Ovis aries: one gene and its partners. The protein of the gene in region 2 binds, or shares a complex with, the protein of the main gene of each other region. Links are inferred from orthologs where the notes say so. Each region holds a gene or a part of one and is shown on either strand. Other genes may lie near its edges.

Region 1 (5,221 bases), on a different chromosome or scaffold from region 2:
ATTTTGGAGCCCAAAAAATAAAGTCTGACACTGTTTCCCCATCTATTTGCCATGAAGTGATGGGACCAGATGCCATGATCTTCGTTTTCTGAATGTTGAGCTTTAAGCCAACTTTTTCACTCTATTTCACTCTCATCAAGAGGCTTTTTAGTTCCTCTTCACTTTCTGCCATAAGGGTGGTGTCATCTGCATATCTGAGGCTATTGATATTTCTCCCGGCAATCTTGATTCCAGCTTGTGCTTCTTCCAGCCCAGCGTTTCTCATGAGGTACTCTGCATAGAAGTTAAATAAGCAGGGTGACAATACACAGCCTTGACGTACTCCTTTTCCTATTTGGAACCAGTCTGTTGTTCCATGTCCAGTTCTGTTGCTTCCTGACCTGCATATAGGTTTCTCAAGAGGCAGGTCAGGTGGTCTGTATTCCCATCTCTTTCAGAATTTTCCACAGTTTATTGTGATCCACACAGTCAGAGGCTTTAGCATAGTCAGTAAAGCAGAAGTAGATGTTTTTCTGGAACTCTCTTGCTTTTTCGATGATCCAGCAGATGTTGGCAATTTGATCTCTGGTTCCTCTGCCTTTTCTAAAACCAAGTCAAGTGGGCCTTAGAAAGCATCACTACAAACAAAGCTAGTGGAGGTAATGGAATTCCAGTGGAGCTATTTCAATTCTGAAAGATGATGCTGTGAAAGTGCTGCATTCAATATGCCAGCAAATTTGGAAAACTCAGCAATGGCCACGGGACTAGAAAAGGTCAGTTTTCATTCCAATCCCAAAGAAAGGCAATGCCAAAGAATGCTCAAACTACCGCACAGTTGCACTCATCTCACATGCTAGTAAAGTAATGCTCAAAATTCTCCAAGCCAGGCTTTTTGTCTTAACTACATTCTGAATAAGTTTTTCAAATCTGTCTTCCAGCTTCTCTGAGCCTTGTTTATTTTTTTCTTATGATAGTATTTTCATCTATACTTTTTCATTTAGTTCTTTAATACCTGTCTGGTCATTTTGGGTAATCTCATGTTGCTTAGTCAAATTTTTTGATTCTTTTGTCTACATCCTCAAAAATACATTTTTTTAATCTGATTTTTTTAATGTCTCCAGGTTGATTCTTCTGTTTGTGTTTGTGGTATTTTGTTTTCATATGTAGCAGTGCATGCATGTAAGATCATATCTGATTGAACTATATCTGTGAGAATTTTGAGACCTGGGTAGAGGAAGTTAATCCAAAATGAATTTGCCTTTAGTCGTCAAGTGCTTAGGGCCACTAACAACATATGGACATTTTGAAATAAGTTTTCATTTTCTGGGGCACATAGTTAATGTGAATTCAAGCCCCAAACTTATGTTAAGGCCAGCCAGTGGTTGAGATTTCTCACAAGTTACTTTTTTCTTTTTCTTGACCTTGAGCCAGGGTATATATTTTGCATGGCACTTTTGATTTGGGGTTTTTGTTTTCCCTACTTACACTTTAAAGGTCCTGGATCTATTCAAAGGTCCCTGATCTGCATCCTTCTTTGTGTAGGCACTAAGTTTTGTCTTCTGTCTCCTACCAACAAACATTACTAATTATTGGATATGGGCAGATGTCCTTAAGATAGCTTTGTGCTTCTGTGCTAAGTTGCTTCTCTGGATTTGGATTTTTGCATTATTTTTGTAGTCAGAAAGCTTTTCAGGTTATTGTCCATATTGCCAGACAAAGATGACTTGACTTTTCAAAATTCATTCTTGTCTTCCTATGAGAATAAACTGAAATCATTTTAGTAGTACTGAATTAAATAGATAAGCTGACTTTATTAAACATCTTACCCAGAATCAAATATCTAAAAGACTGATCACTAATTTGCACATCCACTGCTCATAGTAATGGTATAGGTGAACAACAGTTTGTTCAATCCCACACATGTATGAAAGTGAAAGTGTGAGTTGCTGAGTTATGTCCAACTATTTCCATGTAAATCACTGATACTCTTTATAATTACTTTGAGGCATCATAAGGTACAAGGTATCTTATACATAATCAAAACTGCGTTCAGTATATATTTTTGATACTGTTATTTGATAATCCATGCATGTTACTTCATTTACTAGAACATTCTGATTCTTAGAGCATTGTATTTTCGTTGTGTTTGATGTGAAATATATTTACTATTAGGAAGAAAATGTCTCTTGAGATAAAGTATAACAAGTATATTGTTTTTAATTATCTTAGAGAGTTATTTTGTAACAGACAACTTTGAATATTTTTGTTGTCGTTCAGTAAACTGGTTGAAAGAAAGTGAAAGTGAAGCCGTGTCTCACTCTTTGCAACCCTATGGATTATAGCCTAATATCTGATCTGCTTTTTGAACTTCCCAAAAGAATATTCATGGCCCCCTGATAAATTCTTCCTTATAATAAAATACTCAGTTTTATATTGTTTGTTCTCATGACTTATTTAAACATGTACTGTGTATGCTTAGGAGGAAGAAGCAGACGTTGAAGGAATTCAGTATAAAACACTACGAACATTCCACCATGGAGTCAGAGTTGATGGCATAGCTTGGAGCCCAGAGACTAGACTTGATTCATTGCCTCCAGTAATCAAGTAAGTTGAAAATTATTAAATGCAGCGTTTATTAATATCCTTTGTGTTAAGTGATCTGAAGCCTCTGATCATGGGGACATTTTTCCTCCATTTCCCCAACTTCAGGTACTAGGTATTTTAATATTTGCTATTATTTCATAATTTAGGCTTATTGTTTAAATTTGTGACTTATATGCAAATATAGCAGAGATGCCTTGAAGCATGTGTTTGAGCCTGACTACAAAGCTGTTTATGTGAGATTCCTATGAATCATAAATTCTTCACTGAATTTACCACTTATTGAAAGTGCAACTTTGTTAAAATAACTAAATGTGGTTGAGTCGTTAATCAGCCTTACTGCCCCATACATAAAGTGAGGAAAGGAAAGTGAAGTCTCTCAGTCATGTCCAACTCTTTGCGACCCCATGGACTGTAACTTACCAGGCTCCTCCATTCATGGGATTTTCCAGGCAAGAATCCTGGAGTGGGTTGCCATTTCCTTCTCCAGAAGATCTTCCCAACCCAGGGATTGAACCCAGGTTTCCCTGATGGCTCAGAGGTTAAAGCGACTGCCTACAATGAGGGAGACCTGGGTTCGATCCCTGGGTCAGGAAGATCCCCTGAAGAAGGAAATGGTAACCCACTCCAGTATTCTTGCCTGGAGAATCCCATGGATAGAGAAGCCTGGTAGGCTACAATCCACAAGGTCGCAAAGAGTCAGACACGACTGAGTGACTTCACTTTCACTTTCACTCCTGCATTATAGGCAGATGCTTTACCATCTGAGCCACCAACTGTACTTCTAATCTTTGGGCTTCAGTTTTGTTGAAAACGTTTGAAAAGAATGACTACTTTTTGAGAAAAAAAATTAACATACTTGCTGAGGCCTTCTTCACAAAGGCAATGATATGTCAGGTTATTTAAGGTCTGTTACAAAACACTAACCTTATTTCCATAAATGTCAATTCTAAAATGTATGTCTTCGTTTAGTAAACAGTATTTAACAATCATAATTTAGCTCTTACTGAGCTAACCTAATTTTTTTTAATTAAGGGATAATTTATATACAGTGAACTCAACTCTTAACGGAACAGTTTAATCAGTGTTGACAAATGCATGTACTTTTATAACCTAGATGCTAGTAATACATAGCATTTCTGTGACCCCCAAAAGATTTTTTGTGCTCCTTGTGGTTAATCCCTGTACCCCATCCTCTGTCTAAGCAACTATTGATCAATTTCTGTTATCAGAAATTAGTTTTGCCTAATTAACCTATTTCTTCCAATGACTCTTAATTAAATCATTGAAAAGGCATGGTACCAGAGACTTATCAACATATCTGGATCTCTAGATTAGGAGACTTGTTTTAAATTAAGCTTTATTTAAATTAAATAAACTAAATGTTTTAGGTGAGAAAAAAATATTAGCTTTAATGCAGTCAAAACTTGAGAAGTTTAGATCTATATGATACTCATTTACTTAAAGACAATTGGAAATAAGCTCTATTTTTTAATTCAGGCATACAAAGGGTTCCCACCTGGCTCAGTGGTAAAGAATCCACCTTCCAATGCAGGAGACATGGGTTTGATACCTAGGGGGAAGATCTCCTGGAGGAGGAAATGGCAACTGCTCTGGTGGAAATGGCAACTCACTCCAGTATTCTTGCCTAGAGAATCCTGTGGACAGAGGAGCCTGGTGGGCTGCTGTCCATAGGGTCACATAGAGTTGGACATGACTGAAGCGACTTAGCATGCATGCATGCATTGGAGAAGGAAATGGCAACCCACTCCAGTATTCTTGCCTGGAGAATCCCAGGGACGGAGGAGCCTGGTGGGCTGCCATCTATGGGGTCGCATAGAATCGGACACAACTGAAGTGACTTAGCAGCAGCAGCCAGTGTTCTTGCCTGAAAAATCCCATAAACAGAGCTGCCTGGCAGGCTATAATCCATGGGGTCGCAAAGAGTCGGACACGACTGAGAGACTGAGCGCATATGCGTACATACAGATATATAAGTTCTTTCTTCCTCAGCCATAATCTGACATGCTAAGAATCTAAGAATTTTAGGATTAAAGGCAAACTAGTTAAAAAATAGTTATTACTAGTTTGTTTTGTAGTATACATTGATGTACATCTAAACAAGAACCTTAAATAATAGGGTCAGTATGATAATACTCCAACTTTTAGTAATAAATACACCAGCATTTATAGGTATAAAAAGATTATTATATTTCATCTAATTTAGTGAATTTAATGTATCTTAAAGTAAGAAAGTTTATAGATAACTGAAGGAGGCAAAGGCTAAGATAGATGTATAACTATATTTTTATACCTTATATTGACCTGGCTAAAAGAAGATACTTTTTTAAACCCATCATTTTAAGCCTTTAAGAAAAGTTAAGTGTTAAATTCATGTGGTGATTTATAATAAAATTGTATGGTTTTATAATTAAAGAGACAAATCCAATATACTAATATTTGTATGTTTTCCAATAAAAATTTGTGTCCCCTACTTTCACCCATAGTTGTATAACAGATTTTACAACGGAGCAATAGCATTCCCCTTCTGCCCAAACAACAGCATGAGTATGAGTTATGAAGATGGCTTTGGTGGGTAAAGATGGGAAGAACTTTCACTTACCTAGACTAAAAATGGCCT
Region 2 (5,669 bases):
AAACTCTACCTGGGGTAAAGCTATTTTTTAAAGCAAAAAATAAAGCTATGTACAAAACATCACAACTATTAAAATATGTAAAGGAAAGAAATAAGAAAGACATACTGAGATGCTAAAAACAATTAGGTTAAAAATGCTACTTTCAAATTTTCTGAAGCACATTTGCTACTTTAATAGTGAAAAAAAGTAAAAGGTATAAATTTTATAATTCTCAAAACTGAACAAAGTCACTAATGCTACCCAATAGTAAAATGTTTCAATTTTTAAAAATCACCATAAAAATAAATACTAACCTTCCAGCTAGCAGTGCAATGCCATTCCCCACTTTCACTTTTATCCCAGACCTGTAAGAAAAAAGATATTTTGTACCAAGAATTCCTAAAATTAATTGAATCAGTGAGGACAAAGGAGGGAAACATAAATTCACAAAAGATAAAATCAGTAATTAAAATTCATTCATTCAACCAAATATTTACTCAGGACTGAGGACATGTCAGTCCAGGAACCTTCGCTCCAATAGTTAATGGAGATGATAACAGTGCCACTCAAGTCAGGCACTTATGGTGCTGCTGCCCTAGAAAGTCACTGGGCCAATACTGACCACTCTCCCACAGAGGAAACAGGTACAATTCACAGGAGCCTCTGGTCACAATGTATTTATCAACCAACCTATCAATAACCTTGTTTTACCTGTGCATGTTTGCAAACACCTTATTTTGTATACATTATCGATTCACTAACACTGAACACTGGAAAAGACCCTGATGCTGGGAAAAGACTGAAGGCAGGAGAAGGGAAGGACAGGGGATGAAATGGTTGGATGGCATCACCGACTCAATGGACATGAGTTTGAGCAAGCCCCAGGAGTTGGTGAAGGACAGGGAAGCCTGGCGTGCTGCAGTCCATGGGGTCACAAAGAGTCGGATGCAACTGAGTGACTGAACTGAAATCACACCAACACTGTAACTCAGGTCTGAATGAAGCTCCCCTAACACATACTTTTTCGGGAAGGCACTCATAGCCTTTTTGCTGTGGGACATTATGCAGCACTACACTTGAGGACCACTTCAGCCAGTGAAATTCACCAAAAGAATGAAAATGTGAAAAATGTGGCACCAAACACACACTCAGAAGGACGCTTGTTTACACTATGAAAGCCTGAATAAAAGGCAGAGTGTCACATGTCCAACCTCAGCTGGGAACACAACCTGAACAACTCCAATTTTTCTGCCACCTGGTCATGTCAACAAATAACCATGAGCGTTGCTTTGGGGGTTACAAATAAACTTTATAGAATAAGCAAATTCACAAATACAAAACTTGCAAATAACAAGACTCAACTGTATATATAACAGTCAAAGACAAAACACTGAACCTTCATACCAACAAAAAATAGACATTACAATAACGTGAGATTTTAACCAGGTTTTTTAAATGTAATATGTCCCCCAAATAAATCAATTTTTAAAAATGTAATGATAAAACAGTATTGTGGCTCCTCATAAAACTTCAAACAGGACTTCCCCGGTGGATAGAATTTGCCTGCCAACGCAAGTCCGTTTTCTTGAGCAGATGACCCGCAACTACTGAACCCTGCGTGACCGAGAGCCCATCCTCCACAAGAAGCGCCGCTAATGAGAAGCCTGGAGCACCACAACGATGAGCAGCCCTCGCTCTCCTCAACTAGAGAAAGCCCAAGAACAGCAACACATATATAAAAATTATTAAAATTTTTTCAAATAAAAATAGAATTGCCATGTGATTCAGCAATTCCACTTCTGGGTCTGCACCCAAAAGAGTTGAAAGCAGGTCTCAAAGCTATACTTGTTCACCCACATTCACAGCAGCACTGTTCACAACTAAAATGTAGAAGGAACCAAACTCCACCAACAGATGAGTGATATGTAAAATGTGGTATATGCAGATACATATACTCAGCCTCTTTAAAAGTTTTTAGATTATTTAAACGCTTCCTTTTCTCGGGAAGGAAATTATGACAAATGCTACAACACGTATGAACTTCAAAACATTAAGCTAAGTGAAATCAGCCAGTCACAAAAAAGACAAATCCTGTATGATCCCACTTGTATGAGGCCGCTGGAGTAGCCAAATTCAGAGACAGAAAGTACAAGGGCGGGGACCGGGGTGGACGCTTCAGGGATCGGTGAGTCATGCTTAATGCGGACAGTGCAAACTGAGGATGGCAGTGACCGATGCAAAGATACAAACATACTTAATAAAAACGGTTAAGGTGGTAAATTTTGTTACCTGTAGTTCACTGCAATAACGAAAACACTAAAGAAAAAAATGCAATGATAATGTCCGACACGGACAACTATCACACCGATACTCTTCACCGGCAGCTGTAAAACAGTACAACCTTCAAAAAGACAATCTACCAAGTACTCTCAAGAGCTTTTAAAATACTCATTAATTTCTTTACTGGAATGAGCCTAAGGAAAACTTCCAAAAAACATAAAAAGCGGGATTAACGAAGCTTTTTCACTGCAACACCCCGACAAATACTCCGCACACGGGACAATCCTCTAGAAGACAGCTTTAAGCGGATAAGGAAACCTACTCGGTTAACGGACGCCAATTATCGCGACTGTCACGCGGCCGCGGCGGGCGGAGAGAAAACCCGGGCCTCGTCACAGATCCGTCAGCGAGGGCCGCGCAGCCGCGGCCCAGCTGTGAATACATGGACGGAGGGAGCCCAATCCGACGGGCGCCCGCGGAGCGGGCCTAGGTCCCGCCGACCACCGCCAAGCGAGACATCCCCCTCCCACGAGGTGCTCCGGCCCCAGCCTGGAGCCCAGGGCAAGCCTGGCCGATCGGAGCGCCCTGCTTCCCCCGCAGCGGGAGCGCGCCCGCCGCCGTGACGCACGCACGCACGCAGACAACCGCGGAGAGGCGGCCCGGGCGGCAGTGACCCCACAATACCCGGGAGGAGGGCGCCCGCCGGCCAAGCCGCCGGGCCTCGTGCCCGGCAAGGCGCCTCAACTCGGGAGCACTCCCCTCTCCACGCGCCCCTCGCTCGGACAGCGGGCCGCGCAAGGTCCCGCCCGCTTCCAGGCTCGGCCCGCACCTTGACGCTTTGGTCGCTGGAGCAGGTGGCCATCCGCCGCCCGTGGAAGTCAAAAGACACATCATGGATGAGATCCTTGTGGTCCGCCGCGATACTGCGCGCCACGAACATGGCTGCGCCGGACCCCTCCCGCCTCCTACACGGCGGCGCGGCGGCGCGCGGACCGCAGCCCACCCGGACCCGGCGCCGGGGCGCGCACGGCGGTGCTTTCCGCGTGCTGCTCGCGCGCCCCGGGCTGCGCCCGCCCCGCCCCCTGGCCCGTCATACCCCGCGGGGCCCCGCCCCCTGGCCCGTCATACCCCGCGGGACCCCGCCCCCTGCCCGTCACACCCCGCAAGGCTCCGCCCCCGGTTCGCCGTACCAGTCAAGGCCCGGGTGTGGGTCAAACACCGCGTGGCGGGGGCCGCGGTAGTTACTCTGTCGCCTGGCTGCGGCGCAGTCTGTGCCCTGAAGTGAAATGAAGTAAAAGTCGCTCAGTCGTGTCCGACTCTTTGCGACCCCATCCACTATACAGTCCATGGAATTCTCCAGGCCAGAATACTGGAGTGTGTAGCCTTTCTCTCTTTCAGGGAGTCTTCCCAATCCAGGGATCGAAGCCAGGACTCCCCGCATTGCGGGCGGATTCTTTACCCGCTTAGCCACAAGGAAAGCCCGTCGGTGCCCTAAGGGGACTTAAGGAGCTCTCCGTCGAAGTGTGGAGATTAGGGGAATGTGAAGGTTAAGACTATCATTTGCAAGCCTCGGCCCTGAGTCAGTCTCATCGCGTTGGGCCCCGGGAGTCGGGCAGGGCCCCGGGAGTGAGCGCAGAGATTAGCGGTGCGTAAGGAGCGTGTGTCCAGCGTGTGTGGTGAGGGGTGGGGGGGTGCGTGGCCCCGGCAGTCCCCGTTCCCCCAGGATCTGCAGAAATGGTTTGGCCTTACTGGAAATGCCTTCACTTGCCTTTCCCCTCCCACTAAAAATGGTAAGATTTTATTGGTACTTTAAGAGGACACATACATGTGACAGTGTGGACTGTAGCCCGGTACGTCAAGGGCAAACCCCCAAATCCGTGAGTTGCCGGTATGATAACTGAGAACTACTGTAACTGCTCTAAGAACAAAGACACTCGTTGCCAGAGAAAATACTCACAAAACTCATAAAAGCAGCGTGACAGCCTTACAATCAACGTCACACTTGACCCAGTTTACAGACCCAAAAACCCTTGATTAAAGAGGAAGCCAGATCACCTTGAGGAAAGACCCTACTGTGCTGCCAAAAATACACACTGAATCTTCCAGCCTTCCCTCAGGGGACCTGGGGCCTTTTACCACGGTGATTATGCTTTGGGGAAAAGGAAATAATTAGATTTTTCAAGAATTCTGAACACGCAGCTCCAAACTGACCCTGATTTCAGGAGACCCAAAATATCACTGTGATCCACAGTCAGAGCAGGCCTTGAGGAGGTCAGCTGACCAGAGGTTTTCTGGCTCAGGTGTGTCTCACAGTGGGTCCTCAGAGCCATCCTGTGGTTATTTCCCTGGTTCTGGAATGTGGTTGGGCAACAGGGAGAATCCTTGAGTTGGTTCCCTGACCTGTGGAAGGAGGGCTATATGCTGGGAAAGGTCAAGTGGACACCACTAGAGCTGCCCCTGCTGAGAAGAGTAGGGAGCCAGAAACAGTACTGCAGAGCTTAGTGCCACCAATAACGGCTTGAAGGATGCAGGGCTGGTGGCACCCACCACATCCCACTGCTGCTTACCTCTGGCCTGTGCAGAAGGCAGGTGAGTCTTGGAGAATAATGGTGCGTTACTGTATATTTAGGCAGGCATTCACTGCAACTGCCCTTGCTATTACAGATGTTGTTTCATTGCTCAAGCTGATTAACTCATCCCATGGGAGCTGGTTCACAGCAGTTGGGTCTGACAGATACATTTTCCTCAATACTTGCTAATTAAGATTTCCACCAGAAACAGTTTGCTTTAACAGGCTTGGCTAGCAATGCACTTTCACAGTTGTCCTGGTCTGCTTGGGTACCACAGTAAGATACTGCAGACTGGGTGGCTTAAACAACAGAAATGTGTTCTCTCACAGGCCTGGAGTCTGGAAGTCATGGATCGAGGTGGCAAAAGACTTCATTTCAAGGTGAGAGTGCTATTCCTGACTGGCAGACATCCACCTTCTTGCTATGTCCTCACATGGCCTACTCTGTGTGCAGGGAGAGCTCTCGGATGTTTCACTGATGTCTAATGTGGCTTCAATGCTTGAGAACTTACACATCTCCAGCACCAGCTTTGCGGATGTTGATCTGACAGATGCCATTCTCTCCCTCCCCTGTCAGTAAAGACCCCCAGGAGCAGTTGGCTTTCATCTGGCAAGGCCAGCACCACACCGTCACTGACCTATCTCAGGCGTGTGTCACTCTTCAGTCCTGTGCCATAATTTAGTCCACAGGGGTCTCAATTGCTGTTCTCTTCTATGAGCTACCACACGCACCCGTTCATGACACTGTACTGATTGGATCTGAGGGAGAACTATGCACAGGACAGTTGTATTGTGCTAGGCAGATGCAGAGCATTGGATTGGTCTCATCCATTCCATTTAA
Region 3 (4,579 bases), on a different chromosome or scaffold from region 2:
TCTCTGGCACTGGGATGCCTCCACAGACGGACCTGAGAAGTCGTCACTCTTTCACCAAGGTAAAATGTTTTAATGAAGATTCTTGTGGGCAGCTTGAGATTATATTTTGGTATGCCAAATGAGAAATACTCATATTTTTAACATTAAGGAGTGATAGAAGGTTTCCATTCTCTGGCCTCAGGGTAGATTTTAGTATCACAGGGCATGAAATCTATCAGCTACTGACCACTATACTGCTGACGACTAGAAATGCTATTTATTAGCTGGCTAACTTTGTAAGTACATTGCTGTGGGCCCTCATGCCACAGAATAGGCACTGATCACTCTCCTATATTACACTGTCAAAGGTGTATGACTCTTTTTATGTATTAAGGTACTGGTTTCTCAGAATAAAAGGCTCTGTCTCCTGATTAAAGACAGAGGTAAGTAAAGGTTGGACTTCCCAGGTAGCGCTGGTTGTAAAGAACCTGCCTGTCAATGCAGGAGACCTAAGAGGTGCAGGTTCAGTCCCTGGGTGGGAAGATCCCCTGGAGGAGGGCATGGCAACCCGCTTCAGTATTCTTGCCTGGAGAATCCCATAGACAGAGGGGCCTGGTGGGCTACTGTCCAGAGGGTTGCAAAGAGCTGGACACGACTGAAGTGACGTAACACAAGTAAAGGTCATCCAGAAACTATATACTTAAAATCAAAATGAATTTTTATTTTCATTTTTGGTATTTTCTAAGCTTTCTGGTTTTGAGCTTGTCTGTGACTGCAAACTTTGTTCATTCACTCAGCAAATGTTTATGAAGTGCCATGTGCTAGGTACCCTTCTAGGTGTTAGAGCCCATGACAGCGAGCAGAAGAGCCTTGAGGCACGTAGAGCAAATATTCTAGTAGACAGTAAGTCAGGAGGTGATATTTCAGTAAAAGTCCAAACAGAAAAGCAGAAACTACCCTGGGTTTAAAAGGAATTGTTTTCATGTGTATTGGGCTAGAAGAACAAAAGGGAATGGGAGGGATGCTGGAAGAGCAAATGGCAGAAAGGAGGAATGCCCAGAAATGAACAGTTGTTACTAACCTCCACTGTCCTGTTAGAAGTGCTGTCAGAGTTGGTTCTGGATCAGCAGAAAAGGTGCCACCTCAGCTGGGGCTGGAATCACTGTAGTGTTGTCAGAAACCTGGAGCTTTTTCCCATTCCCACCTTACTCCCCACAGCTTCTCTGCCTTCGTCACCCACAATAGTTATCTCCCGTGCTCAGGGTTCACCTGGAAGGCAGATAGCAAGGGAGCCTGGGAAAAGAAATTCATTCCGACAGTACATAGTGGAACATAGCAAGGGAGACAGAGCAAAATGGAAAAGAACTGGATCAAATACCCTGATGACCATGCAGAAGAGTGAAGAGAGTAGGATGATGAAAAAAAATTAATTGGGGAGGGGCCGCTTGGCAGAGGAGAGAAGATCTCAGCAGAGACCTGAAGAGATGAAACTACTAGTCACAGGCAAGCATTCCAGTAGAGGAAACACCAAATTCCAAAGGCCTGAGACTGCGAACAGAAAAGAGCCAGTGTGGCTGCAGTTCAGCAGGCAGGAGGGGGAGTAGATGGTGAGAAGGAGCTGAGGAGCAGGACTCTGCAGACTGGGAGCAGCTGAGATTTCTTTCTGACGTCACCAAATGCCACTGGAGAATTTTGAGCAGGGAAGTGGGGTGATTTGTCTTGTATGTTTCCAAACAATCGCTTTGGCAACTATGGGGAGAGGGTTGGAAAAGTGGAAGCAGGAGGACCAGGAGACAGACTTTCCACAGTGGTTCTAATGTTCAATTTCACAGTATTCAAGAGTAATACTGGAGCAGTAAAAGGTAAACAGAAACTAAGAAGGAAAAGTCCAAAACTTCTCCAGAAAAATGCTGGAAAAGTATGGAATGTGCAGAGTATGGAGTATGCCTGTGCTAATAACTTCATGTATGGAAAAACTAATAGTTCTATTAAGTTTCTAATAAATACCCAAGAGTAGCTAAGCACTTGGTTTTTTATTTCTTCTTCTAGCCCCACTATCTTGCATTTGAGATTTTATAGTTTGAAGAATGCTGGTTAGATTGGAAATAGTCATTAACTGTATCCTGTGTCTGGTATTGCAAAGAACAGTATTAGACACTGAAAAAGTTAATCTATACAACCTGCTCTTAAGGAATACTTAATTTAGTTTTAATTTAGGAGAAGGAGCCAAAGAAAGTTAAATCATGATATAAGAAATGTTGCAAATAGTAAATTATTAGGGGTGCATACAAGTGCTGCAGGTTCCAGGAAGAAAAAGAGAAGCATGAACTAGAGTCATCTTGACAGACTTCTCAGAAAAGGAAGTTGAGCTGGGCTTTCAAAATCAGCAAGATTTAAACCCACTAATTTTTAAACTTCAAGGTATGAGAGACTTTGCCTTGTATTCCCAGCACTTAGCACAGAGCCTGGCATATAGTAGGTGTCAGCCATTTATTGAGAGTAAACAAAATCTGTCTTTATTTGATCTGGCAAAAAGTAGAAAGAAAATTTCAAATGAAGGCTAAAACTGAAATAATTAATTCTATGTTAAATGCAGAGCACTGTCAGAGATAAAAGTTTATAATTTGGTAGTGTTCTAAAATTCTACTTTTAAGAACATTTACCTAAAATAAACACAAGAATAAAAGGAGATCTACAGCAAGTTGATTATATTTTTAGAAATATATGTTTTTAGAAATATGTCCAGAAATTTTCTCATGATCACTTCATTTTTTGATTATCTAACCGTGTAGGTTTCTACATATTATCTACATCTATTCTACTTGTCCTCTAACCATTTTGCTACATTTCTGAGACTTTCCATTAAAGTATAAATAGGAAGACAAGGTCAAAATTAATCTTGGGCTTTGCTGAAGAGTTCAAGTTTGAAAGCCATGTTATCCCATGAAAATTTGAGTGTTTAATATCACTGACTTAGAAGCTTTTGGTCAAAAACGGTGATGCGTTATAATGGAATCATCAGCCTGTTATTCTTGAGAGTTAAAACAAGTTTATATCATTACATTTTTTAGATATTAGAATTTCAGAGATTTACTAGTATAAAATTGGTCTTGAACAATGTTTTCCCATTTTCTTTTTTTTCCCAGGAGGAAGAAATAGTACTTTTTTGTCTCATACCATTAGTAACCAAGCTAATGTTCACCAATCTCTTATAAGCTCCTGGCTCAGCACTGATCCTGCCAAAGATCGTATTGAAATCACAAGCTTGCTTCCTAATAGGACTTTGTCTGTGAACAGTCTGGATGTTTTAGGTCCTTGTCTTGTTTGTGGAACGGATGCAGAAGCAATTTATGTTACTAGACAGCTTTTTTCATGAAGATACTAAAAGATTTCAGGTAAAACATACAGTTACAACCTTTCAAATGCCAGTTTCTTTGCAAATTTTTGTTATTGGAAAATGTGAAATTTGCAAGGGGAACAGCCATAAACTATTGTTAATGTTGATGCCCAGTTTGTTAGTTGAATATTGCTCTAACAGTTGCTGGAGTCTGATTGATGACCCATGGCAAAAGAATTGAAATATGTGGCGGAACATCAGAGGAATCCTTGTTCTGATGAATGCACTGCCTTCAGCACCATTCTAGATAGCTCATGGAACCAACTCTCCATTTTTGATGTTGTAGGGCTTAATAATGTCAAACCACCAACAGGTTCCTTTCCTTTTCAGGAGTATGTGGGATATGGTATGTCCCTCCCTGGTGACATTTTTCAATACTAGTATTTATTCTCTTTACTGCAAGTGTTTCTTCAGTCCTTCAACATTTTATTTCCTTAATAATTTCAGTAAACTTTCTTCAGTAAGAATTGAGTAGAGCAAAAATGACAGTTTTTGGTAGTGTTGAAATTTTTTTTAAGGTGAAAATGTTTTGATGGGTTCCTTTATTAGAATGGGTTTGAACAGAACTCTGTCACCTCCTTAGACCCAGCTTTGTTTCTCTTGAAAAAAGACAAAATACATTTTTCGTAAGGATTTTTGCTTTTATTTAGTTTTTTACGCCATAATTGAAAATTGCTGAATTGGACATTGTGCATTAAAATAGGATTTGACATTGGTAAGTGAGGCAGCTTCCAAACTAAAATTTGAGAGGTAACATGTATGAGACTAGTATGATGATGTGATAGGAGTAAAGAGTTTTGCCACCCTTATCTTTAATGTTAATGATGACCTAACACACAGTATTTTGAGACAGTTTTATGATACTGTCTTTCCAAAGTTTTTTAAGAGTAAATGCATCATTGAATTGTAAAGACCTTAATGAAAGATCACTCCTGTTACACAGGAAGTTTCTGTTTATTTACTTTACAATTCCAACAACAGATAACTATGAATTTTTGTCTTTCTGGCCCAATAAATATTTTTAATTTTTTTATGTTGAATTCTCAGGATTTGGGGGTTTGGAGTTTGTTTTGTTTACATTTTAAAATAGAATATATATATATGCATTTGTTGTTCTGTATATATATATATTTGGCTCAAAAAATAATTGACTAAAGATATTTAGTAACTCTGAATTCCAAAGACTCAAAGAAGGAAAAAAAT

Evidence for each region. The genes of interacting proteins can lie anywhere in the genome.
Region 1: SEH1L (region 2) and NUP37 share a complex: the UniProt entries of both Homo sapiens proteins name them as parts of the nup107-160 subcomplex of the nuclear pore complex. The link is inferred for Ovis aries from reciprocal best matches to the Homo sapiens genes SEH1L and NUP37.
Region 3: SEH1L (region 2) and NUP43 share a complex: the UniProt entries of both Homo sapiens proteins name them as parts of the nup107-160 subcomplex of the nuclear pore complex. The link is inferred for Ovis aries from reciprocal best matches to the Homo sapiens genes SEH1L and NUP43.

The regions. Positions count from the first base shown.
Region 1 is NC_056056.1:171,511,717-171,516,937, reverse strand, and holds part of NUP37 (nucleoporin Nup37), read left to right. Parts: intron 1-2,458; coding exon 2,459-2,583; intron 2,584-5,221. UniProt on the Homo sapiens protein: Component of the Nup107-160 subcomplex of the nuclear pore complex (NPC). The Nup107-160 subcomplex is required for the assembly of a functional NPC.
Region 2 is NC_056076.1:43,683,186-43,688,854, reverse strand, and holds the start of SEH1L (nucleoporin SEH1), read right to left. Parts: upstream 3,326-5,669; 5' UTR 3,200-3,325; coding exon 3,089-3,199; intron 2,876-3,088; exon of another isoform or gene 2,582-2,875; intron 345-2,581; coding exon 294-344; intron 1-293. UniProt on the Homo sapiens protein: Component of the Nup107-160 subcomplex of the nuclear pore complex (NPC). The Nup107-160 subcomplex is required for the assembly of a functional NPC.
Region 3 is NC_056061.1:73,997,356-74,001,934, reverse strand, and holds part of NUP43 (nucleoporin Nup43), read left to right. Parts: coding exon 1-59; intron 60-3,125; coding exon 3,126-3,355; 3' UTR 3,356-4,579. UniProt on the Homo sapiens protein: Component of the Nup107-160 subcomplex of the nuclear pore complex (NPC). The Nup107-160 subcomplex is required for the assembly of a functional NPC.